3 linked regions of the Bombyx mori genome follow. The main gene of each other region encodes a partner of the protein of the gene in region 2 in a complex. Links are inferred from orthologs where the notes say so. Each region holds a gene or a part of one and is shown on either strand. Other genes may lie near its edges. The genes, in order: cell cycle checkpoint control protein RAD9A, cell cycle checkpoint protein RAD1 and checkpoint protein HUS1.

The links.
Region 1: the proteins of cell cycle checkpoint protein RAD1 (region 2) and cell cycle checkpoint control protein RAD9A are in contact, whole or in part, in a crystal structure (PDB 3GGR), measured with the Homo sapiens proteins. The link is inferred for Bombyx mori from reciprocal best matches to the Homo sapiens genes RAD1 and RAD9A. Residues at the interface, in NP_002844.1 of Homo sapiens: Glu165, Ala166, Ser168, Glu169, Asn195, Ala196, Gly197, Ser198, Ser199, His200, Leu201, Asp202, Tyr203, Pro204, Asp206, Ser207, Glu211; in NP_004575.1 of Homo sapiens: Leu76, Ser82, Val83, Ser86, Leu90, Lys92, Leu112, Phe116, Gly117, Val118, Arg119, Lys120, Thr121, His122, Asn123, Leu124.
Region 3: the proteins of cell cycle checkpoint protein RAD1 (region 2) and checkpoint protein HUS1 are in contact, whole or in part, in a crystal structure (PDB 8GNN), measured with the Homo sapiens proteins. The link is inferred for Bombyx mori from reciprocal best matches to the Homo sapiens genes RAD1 and HUS1. Residues at the interface, in NP_002844.1 of Homo sapiens: Asn85, Val88, Asp91, Cys92, Ser94, Ile95, Phe96, Gly97, Ser98, Gly127, Val128, Val129, Thr130, Val131, Cys132, Lys133, Ile134, Asn135, Gln137; in NP_004498.1 of Homo sapiens: Thr165, Ser168, Val169, Lys172, Met173, Asn175, Ile176, Glu197, Leu198, Val199, Cys200, Val201, Thr202, Thr203, His204, Phe205, Lys206.

What each region holds. Positions count from the first base shown.
Region 1 is NC_085122.1:9,591,720-9,595,214, forward strand, and holds cell cycle checkpoint control protein RAD9A, read right to left. Parts: upstream 2,257-3,495; 5' UTR 1,916-2,256; coding exon 1,882-1,915; intron 1,807-1,881; coding exon 1,401-1,806; intron 1,329-1,400; coding exon 599-1,328; 3' UTR 530-598; downstream 1-529. UniProt on the Homo sapiens protein: Component of the 9-1-1 cell-cycle checkpoint response complex that plays a major role in DNA repair. The 9-1-1 complex is recruited to DNA lesion upon damage by the RAD17-replication factor C (RFC) clamp loader complex.
Region 2 is NC_085122.1:11,566,826-11,571,075, reverse strand, and holds the start of cell cycle checkpoint protein RAD1, read right to left. Parts: upstream 2,833-4,250; coding exon 2,740-2,832; exon of another isoform or gene 2,601-2,739; intron 1,849-2,600; coding exon 1,711-1,848; intron 909-1,710; coding exon 805-908; intron 158-804; coding exon 1-157. Other genes in the region: zinc finger SWIM domain-containing protein 7-like, read right to left, coding at 2,825-2,956, 3,311-3,537, 3,758-3,848. UniProt on the Homo sapiens protein: Component of the 9-1-1 cell-cycle checkpoint response complex that plays a major role in DNA repair. The 9-1-1 complex is recruited to DNA lesion upon damage by the RAD17-replication factor C (RFC) clamp loader complex.
Region 3 is NC_085134.1:9,690,764-9,695,116, forward strand, and holds the start of checkpoint protein HUS1, read left to right. Parts: upstream 1-1,472; 5' UTR 1,473-1,690; coding exon 1,691-1,742; intron 1,743-1,795; exon of another isoform or gene 1,796-1,809; coding exon 1,810-2,016; intron 2,017-3,319; coding exon 3,320-3,420; intron 3,421-4,353. UniProt on the Homo sapiens protein: Component of the 9-1-1 cell-cycle checkpoint response complex that plays a major role in DNA repair. The 9-1-1 complex is recruited to DNA lesion upon damage by the RAD17-replication factor C (RFC) clamp loader complex.

The sequences.
Region 1 (3,495 bases), about 2.0 Mb from region 2:
TGATTTTATAATCCACATTAATACCTAATACTTTCAATAAATAAAAACTACTTTCTGTAAAAATTGTATCAATTTCACTTTGCCTTAAAGCAATGAAGTAGGTTTTTTTAAATCATTAAGCTTTTGAGTTTTGTATCTTGTTTCAAAGAGTTGAGATGGTGTCTTAAACATACGCTTTATATAAAATCAATACATATTGTTACCGAGATAAATACATATATAGTGAGAAATGCATAGTGATGAACCCCTATTTTGGTCTACATCATGATCGTTGATTTGTAATGTGTGTATACTGTTTCTCTGTATGTATATTTTTTGCTATAAAATCAATGCAGTGAACTCTATATTTTATTTGAATCCTTTTATGCCTTTAAGAAAACATAAAAAATATAAATCATATTATTTTGTGGGGAGATCTCTAATCAAAATTATTAACCAAACATCAGCCATAATCTTTGAAGTGGTTTATGAGTCTCCCAACAAATGTAATAAGACCATATTATATTGCTGAAAATTAGATAAGATAATATTGATGAAAATTGGGAATATTTTAATTTTTTTTAATCTGCTTTCAAACAACTTTAAAAACATTATTTTTTTATTCACTGTCTGAATTCTCAGCTAAAATGACACCTTGAATACTTTTTGGATCAAAAGTACTTTCAAAACATCTCTTAAATACTGATTTTATCTTAGTCCTTGAAGTTGGAGATGCTGGAATAACATTATCAAAGTCTATTTGTTCTTTAACATTATCTAAATTATTACTAGCTTTAAGATTTATATCATCAGGGATATCAACAAAATTAAATAGATGAGAGTCCTCTTCTAAGCACTTAGAAAATTCAACATCTATATGCCGTTTCTTTTTTACTGAGCCTTGAGTATTACATGTATCTTTTCTTTTATTCCTTTCCTTTGTGGTAGTGCTCTGTGTTGATGTTGCTTGTGTTGCATTGTCTGGTTTAGATGTTGCTAACACAAAATGTGCTTCAAAAGTAGTTCCATTATGGACTATGAATACAGCTGGACGACCTGTAGTCTCAAAATGAAGTTGCAACGGCAAATTTAATGCTTCAGCAAACGCAAGTAGGGCTCTGAACTCTTTTAATGTAAATGTTATAGTGGTTTCCTCTCCTATGATGTAGTTGTCAAATTCAGCAGGATCTAAGCTTACATGTGTTCGAATTATTTTTGTCAGATCCATATTACTATCAATATAATTTTTTATTACCAGTGACTTAGTTGTGGCCTCTAATGTCACTTGGTCGTCAGAGGTTTGGAAGCTGTTCAGTGTTTCGTTTAGTATTCTTTGAGGTGAAGTAATTCTGAAAAATATTTCATTACAATCTAACAGTGATAAAAATAAATTAATATTTTATTTTGGTTACAATTTTTACCTGTTTGGTACTGTATCTTTAGTGTACACAGCCTGCATCGCTTTACAGTCTAATATTGATACAAAATGTGTCTTAACTATACCATGCTTGCATTTCAAACAAAATATTAACTTGCAAGATTCTGGATCTAATTTCATTTCCAAACTTTCTACCTGTTTATCAATGTGAGCTGGAGATTTAAAGGCGTTTAAAGCAGACTTCATCGATATTTTGCATTTCAGACCTTCGTTATCTTCAGTCGAGTAATAATTGTAATTAAAATAAGAAAAGAAGTTTTTGTTAAATTTAATCATCGCATATGCGGATTCGGCTGCATTCAATGTTCTCAATAATATACAGTCGGGTAATGACTCCAGGTATAATTCATCTCCAAATCGAGCTAAGGTATGTACTGTTCTTGCTAAAACTAAAATTATATAAAAATTATATTCGTTTCCGAGCCAGCATAATTTCAGTATTGATAACACACACTTTATATTACCTTTAACATTAGGCCCCGGAACGTGACACTTCATTGTTATGTTGACTTCCTCAGAAAGTTAACTAAAATCTACTTTAAATTCATTTCTAGGCTTTAACATCAATATAAGGATTACCTATGTTTTCACTATAATTTTTTGTCTAATTTCCTGATCCTGACCTACTGAGATACCAGGTATTATTAGGATGATACGAGTGACAGATATTTGACAGTTCTCGTGATGCGACGACAATTTAATGATCCAAATGATCCAAAGAAAATTAATCCACATGATTATTTTAAAAATTGTACTGTAAATATTTATAAACTATTCTACATATTGATAGATTGACTATTGATGGTTTGACTATACAGAAATATTTTTGAAGTGAAACTTCCTTATCGGCGTTGGAAAAAAATTTACCGTCACGTTTTTCGGTTACGCGTCACTTTTTTCCGTTACGCGCCATCTTTTAATTAACGGCTGTATGTTCTGAAGTATAGATGCGCATTTGAGAAACCGACCTCATGTCTCAAGGTGGGTCACGGAATACATTTTGTAATTGCAATAATCCCAGGTAACCCACTTAATATCACGTGGACCGTGCTATTATTGTTATTACGTAAAATAATAGGAAGAAAAGTACCAGGGTATTATGATATCAAAGAGATGTATTATTATAACTTTACTCTGACGTACAGCCTTCTTTATTAATTAACGGCTGTATGTTCTGAAGTATGGATTCCGATTTGAGAAATTGACCTCATGTCTCCAGGTGGATTACGGAAATCATTTTGTAATTCCAATAATCTCAGGGAGCCCACTTAATAATATCACGTGGACCGTGCTATTTATTACTGTTATTACGTAAAATAATAGGAAGAAAAGTACCAGGGTATTATGATAGCAAAGAGATTTATTAATAATTAACGGCGGTATGTTCTGAAGCATGGTTTCGGATTTGAGAAATCGACCTCATGTCTCAAGGTGGGTCAAACTTCACGAACCTCAGGAACCCCATTTAACACCACGTGGACCGTGCTATTATTATTAATTTATAGGAAGAAAAGTACCAGGGTATTATGATATCAAAGAGATGTATTATTAAAATGCTGTAATAATCTTAGTAGCAAAAAGGTAAAGTGAAATAATTGTATTATTTGTATTCATGTCTATTGTCTATGATAATAAAATCCTTTTGTTTAAACTTTATCTAATTTAACTTTATTTAACCAATTTCTAGAAAGTTGCATGTAGATCATTTTTCGAAAAATAAGGCCATAAACAAGTTTCACTTCTTACGTGTGTACACTAGTACACGCACACATTTTTTTATTTAGTACCATTGTAACAAAATCAATAAAGAGGAAGAGAAAATGTTAATTTATTTATTATTGTTTAATAATAAATTACCTATTTTATACTACCCTATGGTTATATTAAACAACAGATACAAAGTAGAAATAAACAAACCATCCTCTTTTTTATTGTGTATTAGGGTGAATGATAATCATATAAAATCTATTGTGAAATTACGGTATGCATGTATATATAAATTATTTTAAAAGAGGGTTTTTTAATATTTATCTGGTCACAATAGCAATAGGCAGGACTTTCGAATCATAATTACAGTT
Region 2 (4,250 bases):
CTCGACGTCCCCCAGTACTGCGAGTAGGGCTCCGGCGCGGACCACGAGCTTCGCCACGTCCGTCTCCTCGGGACTGCGAAGCTCCAGCATCGAATCTGGGGTCTGGCTCCATATCTCGCAGTCCGTCATGACGTTACGAAACGACTGAGGCTGTAAGCTGATACGAGAGTGTTTTTATAGCTCCTGATTTTTAGTACATGACAACCATTGCTTTTTTTTCTACCTATTCTAAATCTAATGACCTAGAGGGGTCATATTAGATTCGTCGAAAGGGTAGGTGAGCTCACGGGGCTCTAACCTGAAGACTAGCTAACACTAACCCTAGCAAGAGCAGTGCTTCGCAGAATCTACCACCGGATCGGAAGCGCGACTCACTGAGAAGATCCGGCGAGAAACTCAATGGGCTGTGTCTATGGGTCAATTGACTCGCCGAGCCTTCATTTTATCTCTGCAACGCTTTTATGGTCGACAAAACAAGTCTACCATTATCGAGAACATTCCCGATAATATTAGTCACTTTATATGTGTTTTTGATATTTGATAATAGATGGCGTTACTCTTACCGGCAATAGTAATAATATTTTTTTATTAAGAGGCTATGACGATGTAAAATCCTCTCAATAGATATTGCGGAGATACTTTAGCTCATCCTTATTGCACCCAAGTTGCTAATGTAGATACAAACAGACTGTACCTTTTCTGCATTTAAGAACTCTTTTTTAGTTGCTGAGCACACCAGGAATTTGGTGTTGTCAGCTTCCATGTAAGCTCGTCAAAGGAGATTATCCTGATGTATAAACTTACACAAGTAACAGCGGGGATCCTTCACATTTGTAATACATTTTCAAGCTGGCCTCTTCACCCGAGCCAAATATGTTTAAGCATTCTGCTAAAACTGCTAAGCTGATCTGAAACATACAAAAAAATGTTTATACTGAACATACATAGAGACACACAGCATACATCAAATAAGATTCATGAATGACTTGGTTTGAATTTTGACTCTTCCATTCTCCTTTGAAATGGTGGGTCTTATTTTGATAAACTTAGATAGGAATTATGAGGAGTTACAAAAGTACAAGTAGATATTCAATTATTTGTACATAGGCTTAACTAATTTATCAAAGTTTATTTGTGCAGTAATGTATACTGTAAAGTTGCTAATTATCTAACAGATGACAGGATCAGATTGAGTCTGTACCAGATTTGTTAATTTTGTATTTTTTTATTTGTAATTTTCGATGCCTCCAATGAACACTACTCTAACTCAAAATTTTGAATTTTTCGTTTTTCTTGCAAATCGCTTCACTATGATAAAAGTATTACAATTAATCATTATTGATGGGGTTCGAAGCAAGACTAAATCAGCTAGTTACACAAAAAAAACATAAATATATCTGCAATAATAAAGATTTTTCATCATTCAGAATCAACTTTTTTCATTTAAACGCTCCTCCTGTAAATCTACGAATTAGGAGTTAGCGTAGTGTTCATTGGAGGCATCGTTTTGAGGTGCATTGAAAATTATCATTATAGTATTTCAATCAAGGTGAACCTATAATTTTTATAAGAACACTAAAAAACAGCTATAATTGATAATCAAGAAGTATGTCTTGTTAAGTTAATATATATTGAATTTAAAATGAATGATTTAAGTTTGAATTCGAGGATTGTGGACAGCTAATATATTTTATATTTGTGTATTCCAACCTTAAATATGACATCTACATCATCCCTAACATGGTATTCTGTGAAGTTGTCAGCCGGTATATAAGCTGAGGCTTGAACACACTTGCCTTCCTCCACTGTTAACTTCAAACCTTCAGGTAGAGCACAGAACACTGCTGACTGAAATAAAAGGCATTGATAATTTAATACTTACCACCCATTTAAATAAATGCGAGTAACTATTTAAACAATTAATTGGAGATTCATGACTATATTTTGCTTGCTTGTATTTTAGAAGTTCATAATAATACTTATATCAAATCCAACTGATACTGTAAAACCGATAATAATTACAGCATTGTACCAAAAAGATGTACCATACATACTACATTATTGGTTTTAATAAACATTTCGACAGGTGAAAAGCTATTTGGTTTAAGCGACATATTTGCAACTTTACAGGCAAGCCATGTAAAGTTTAAAATTTAGAAAAAATATCATGACCAAGAAACATCTTCATCTATTTGAATGGAGTCAACTTAATTGAAGTTCAATTAAAAGCAACAAGCTGTTGATGCCACTGCTAAATAAAACGCACTTTAAATTCCAAAAATAAATAGTAACCGAAATGTTGCCTAAACCATACAGCCTTTCCCCCCTTGACTTTACTTTTACTGGTGGTAGGACCTCTTGTGAGTCCACGCGGGTAGTGGTAGGGTCCACCACCCTACCTATTTCTGCAGTGAAACAGTAATGCGTGTCAGTTTAAAGGGTGGGACAGCCGCTGTAACTATACTTGAGACCTTAGAACTTATATCTCAAGGTGGGTGGCGCATTTACGTTGTATATGTCTATGGGCTCCAGTGACCACTTAACACCAGGTGGGCTGTGAGATCATCCACGCATCTATGCAATAAAAAAAAAATATAATATTAAATTTTTTAAATAAAAATTTCAAATTTATTTTCTATTAATTAATTGGGAGACATATAACAAAAATACTTCTGAGTGAATTTAAATGCATTTCAAATGTACTAAGAAAAATAACTCAGTATTCACATCATAGACTACCTCTTGAAACTGTATTGCTTTTAATAAACTACACAGAGTCTTTCCGGAGTCCATGCTAGCCGTGAAATGGTATTGAGATGAATCTTCAGCCATTTTCTTCTGTCAGGTCAAACATGGACTTCAATAACATCAGGTATTGATCATGTGTAACTGAATGTGGGCTGGTCCGCTCTAATATTTGGGCCAGTCTAGCTGCCAAAACGTGTTTACATGTGACCTGATAAATAAATAAATATATTATTCAGAACAAGACCATTTTACTGTTTTTGTTTCACCTTTATTTATATTTAATTAACTTTAAAGAAGTCTCTCAATGAAATGTATGTATTCTCAAAGAATACCATTAAATCAACTTACATGTTTTGTTTTGGTTAAATTATTATGAAAATTAAATGGTTTTGTTAATAAAACTAGAAATTTTTTAAACAAAATTGGAACGTTTGAAAAGTTTTAATCAAATTGAAAATTTAAAGTTGGATCTGTCTTCAATTGAGTATGCAGTATTTATGATAGATTGTGGCTGTCTCGAACAATTTCCTTTGTCTTCAGGAAGTGTTGAATCATTACTAACCTCAGTTTTCCGTTCAATAACAAGGTTTTTGAAAGCAAGACACGGACAGAAGTTTATTTTCGGGAACACTCTATAGCAGCGGCCGTTGTCCCCTTGAACTTCGATCAATGTTCGGCCTTTTGGATTCGTGTAAATTATAAACTTTGGGTGCTTTTCTAATATTTCCAGCGACCTTTGCAAAGTTACACCGAATATGGAATGTAAAGCTAACAAATCTTCATCTGAAACTGTAAATATAAATACCGTTAAATGTAATCTTTAGACTTATAAGCTGTTCTTATTTTTTCATAATACTGTGTAATGTCTTAACTACATTAATCAATTAATTAACTTTGATAATTTCGTAGTTACAAGTTAAAACTTTCGCTTTGGAAATGTCAATTTAAAGTTTGAGGACGATTTCTCTTGTTAGTTTAAATCATTTAAATAAATATGATTCGAACCTACGTTGATTTGAATTTGTATTTTTTACGCGGGCTTCAATTTGTTTCAAAATACTTTCCGCGATAACTGGTATTTTAGATTCAGAAATCCTCATAATAATAATCAAAGCTAATATAATCACCAGATTTACATTAATTTACATGGATTTCTCAATTCTAGGAGATGGGTCGAGGCTTAATTTAATTTACATACACTTCTCAGTTTAACCAAATAAGTTTAAAGTTTTTATGAACCTGTCATACAAAAGTTGACAAACCTATGTTTTTTTTTTATGGGATTTTATGACCTGGTAACTAAGACCCTTAGGTCAAGTTTTATTTTAATTTTAATAAAAAAAATGATATTATTAATGAAATTTTAATAATTTATCGTTTATTATTAACAAAAACTTATTAACAAAAAATTAATGAAATGAAGTTGATTAATATGAAACATGGCATGAAATGAAATGAAAGGAAATGATATGATAACGAAATGAAGTGAGATATGATGATAT
Region 3 (4,353 bases), on a different chromosome or scaffold from region 2:
ACCTTTTTTCGCATACCGTAAAACTCTCGTGCAAGATAGAGACAAATACCTAACCGTAAACAGAAACTTGTCAACATGGATGACATGTTAGCGCCATCTACCTTCAAGACCAGTGACGTTTGTACTCTATGGTCAAAGCTGCCAGATCGCAAAGGAATGGATTCGACTAAATCAAGTTCAAATCATCATCATTCAATCATCAAAAGATACATTTATTAAAAATAATTATCAGTTGAATACATCTAAAATATTCTATTCAACTGATAATTACTTCGAACCAACCATTATTAAAAACGCGATTATTATTATTTAGTCCGCAAATGACCCATGGTACAATGATTCAAGTACCGACAGTCATAATGGTCTGTTAATGCCTTCAGGATGCTGTTAGGGCTGACCCGGACCCGGCGAATCAGGGATGTGCATCTTTTCCGCATGGTCTTAAAGAATCAATCGACTCGTGCTTCGGCGAACATTATAACATTATAACAAGTAGGTACCACCACCCTGCCTATTTTCTGCGGTGAAATCGTAATGCGTTTCGGTTTTGTATTGTGGGGCAGCCATTATAACTATACTTGGGATCTTAGAACTTATATCTCAAGGTGGGTGCATTTACGTTGTCCTTGGGCTCCAGTAACCACTTAACACCAGGTGGGCTGTGAGCTCGTCTATCCATCTAAGCAATAAAGGCTGAATCTTGTTAACAACATTTTCAAGATAAATTTGCATAGATACGAGTTTCGAACCACAACATTAGAACCGTTAGTCTACCGAGCAATTTTATCCGCTCGGTGTAAGATCTTACCTTTTTTGTTAACACCCAAACTACTAAACTCTGTGATAGAGACAGTTACATGTAAATGTATGCACCTATACCTACATATTAAATATTTATCATCGCCAATATTAACACACATTCTTTACAATAGAACGAATTTTGTATCAAACTTCGTCTCACGCTGAAAAGATACTCTGATCTTTTCTTTTAGGTGCTTCCGGCTCACGTAGTATATCCTATACGTACAGATGTAGCAGATTCAGACTGGCGTAAACGAGAGTTTTCTTCTTTAACAGAAGATGATCAACAAAAACGGTAGAAATATCCTAATATTTTCTTACGAGCATCATTCTACATTTAGGGACTAAATCAATTGGCTCTGTAAGATACCTTAAGCACACATTCCGAAAAACTTTAATTAGCTAAAAGTCTCTGTTATTTAAAACACCGTTTAGCAAGAATGTTTAAAATTACAAATTGAATATTGTAGGAGCATTCTTGTCAAAGATCAAAGCCATTACTTATTTCTCGGCTTTCTTAACAGTTTCATCGGGGTATCTCATTATTATTAGTTCACAGAAACTACAGCTGGATAGCCTTCGTTACTTATTCTCAATGAACCAAAATGTTTGCATCATGAAATCACCTTTGCACTTTAAGTCGATTTCAATACTGATAAGAGTTTTTGTGCAGTTGCAATACTAGCCAAATCTATATTGTCAATGCTCACTCAATTTTCGCGCTGCCTAAGTTTTGAAAACAACACAGTATTGGAAAAATAAAACATAAATTACATGTCGAAACTGTGTTTAGTTACTAATTATTATATATCTTAAAATAGTGTGCAATTCATCATCTCATTTTGCACGAATTAAACAACTGTTTTCAAAAGACGAAAAACATATCACTATGAAATTCCGTGCTGTTATGAATAACTCTTCTCCAATACGCGAATTCTCAAGTAAAACTCCGCTTTAATGGTGTTGCTTACTAGTTTTTGATTATTGTAACCAGAATTTTGTTTTCAGCTATTGTTAGTACAATATCAAAACTGTCTAAGGAGTGTGTCCTAAGGATAGCAGACGATATGTTGTATTTCATTGTCAGCGATGAAAACACTGGACCAGCCCCTCCGGTACTATGGTGTGAAATACCACAAAGTGTATTTTTCTCTGAATATCAATTGGTTGGAATGGATGAAACTCACCAAGACATTTATTTAGGATTGAATTCGGGTATTATAATTTCCATTAAAAAGTGCTATGATAAAATAAATAAATTATTCTTGGTGAATATTTCCAATATCAAATGTTTAGATATTGATAATCATTGATATTAACTTAATAGCCATTAAGTTTAAAAAAGTGGTGATCTTCATTCAGGTACATCTTAAATAAATAATAAATTGTTGTTTTCCCAATACCATTTAAAGTTTCATGGTGTCTAGAAATATATAAAATAAAAAAATTTAAAATATAAAGAGTGGAAAAATTTTAGGACTAGCTGACCTTAAGCTTATGCTTAAGATGCCAGACTTCCAGACCCTTAGGGGTTATAATCAGATATTAGAAATCATTGTTTACTTGCACTCCAAAATGTTTTAAATGATAATCATGCAATATTAATAGCTTAAACCTCTTTTCACATGTATTTATATTTTGCCTAGCATTCTTTGTTTAATACACTGTTCAACATAGAGAAAATTAAATAACAATAAACATAAGAGACAATTGAACACAAATGTAATTTAAGTGTTTGGCATGGTTAGGTTGTGTGTGTTAGGTGTTATCTGTAAGATTTTGGTGTTTGTGTGTAGGAATTAGCAGTTTATAAACAGTTCTGAAACTGTTCGTTTTTTATGACAATGTGTTGCACTTTTTTTTTACTTAGATGGGTGGACCAGTTAAGTGGTTACTGGAGCCCATAGACATCCACAATGTAAATGCGTCACCCACCTTGAGATATAACTTCTAAGGTCTCAAGTATAGTTACAACGGCTGGCCAGCCCTTCAAACCGAAACGCATTACTGCTTCACGGCAGAAATAGGCAGGGCGGTGGTACCTACCCGTGCGGACTCACAAGAGGTCCTACCACCAGTGTACTTAAAGTAAAATAATCAACAGTATCTTAGATACTTATTTATATTGAATACTTGAGGACTGTTAGATCGTTTTCCAAGTTATCATAGTTAGTTCTTGTAACCAATCCATCAATTTCATTATGCATCATTTAGTTTAGTTTGCCAAATCACAAAAAACCCTTGATTTTCCTGTAACAACCACCCCTATAGCAAAGTATCAATAACAATGCTTTAAAAATAAATATTACAGACAGACAGACAAAAAATCATGTTACTGTGCAGTAAATTACTATAAGGAATGTTGAATTTTAATGTGTTCCTTTTTTATTGCTAATAAACAGAATCATGGCCCCTCTAAAGCCCATCATCATTCGTGAATATCAGTAATACTAGGAGCATGGCTGTGGCAGATAGCAAAATTGTAAAATGCCGTAATACAACTTACTGTAATTTTCAGGTAATCTCGCAAGATCTTTTGTCTCCTTGAAAAATGTAAAATCATTAAAAATGAAGTTAACAAAGAAACAGTGTCCGTGCCTAACATTGGAAATTGAAGTGGTATGCTTTTAATAAATAGCACCTGTTCACTTATGACTTGGTTAATGTAGACCTAGGAATGACCTTAATAAAATGAAGCCCCACGGATTTGTTAATATGTAACACATTAGAAATCTTGAGTCTTCTAATTGTTGCCTTTATCCCGTAGTGTAGAGGACCTATTCATTCATGTCAGCATGTCCTCTTTCTCTATTCAGACCTATCATACGTTATCTCTGCACTCACACCCTTCTCTCACATGTGCTCTTTCACGCAGTCCATCCAAGTGTTATTAGGCGGTCCCTCATTAGAAATGTTCACTATTAATATTTATTTAGTAACTAGTGAAATTAAATCGCCCTCTGCCGGTACTATTCTTAATTGATTTCCACCTAGTTGATTTATATTCTAAATACTATTGCAAGTTTCATAAGATGTAGAATGTAAGAATGTGTAAAAAACATGCATTCATTTTTATTGAAATCAAAGACTACACTAATGTTGTAAGTATCAAGTTCCAGTATAGTGCTTATTTCGATTTTTAAACAATCAAACGCACCCCCGCCTTTGGATTAAAATTTGTCAATACTATTTGAAAGTGTTGTGTTTATTCACAGTGCATTTGCAGAGATATTTTCCACATACCATCTGGTTCTGCAATTAACTCACCCCTTTCCTTAGCGCTATGACATGTGCTTCTTCAAACAAGGCTTACAAAGAGTACTTAGCGGTTGCAACTTGGCTGTGCCTCTGGCATTGCTGACATTGCTTCATGTATGAGGGCAACTACTCCCCATCAGGTGTCCACAAGCCTGTCTGTTTACAAAGGCCATAAAAAACGCTGCATTGCTATTTGCATCTTGTTAGTCTTCAGTCGTGTCTAATAAAATCAGGTAAAGTTATGCTGTGCCTGTGTGCTTATTGACAAATCCTCCAAACACCCCATAAATCTTT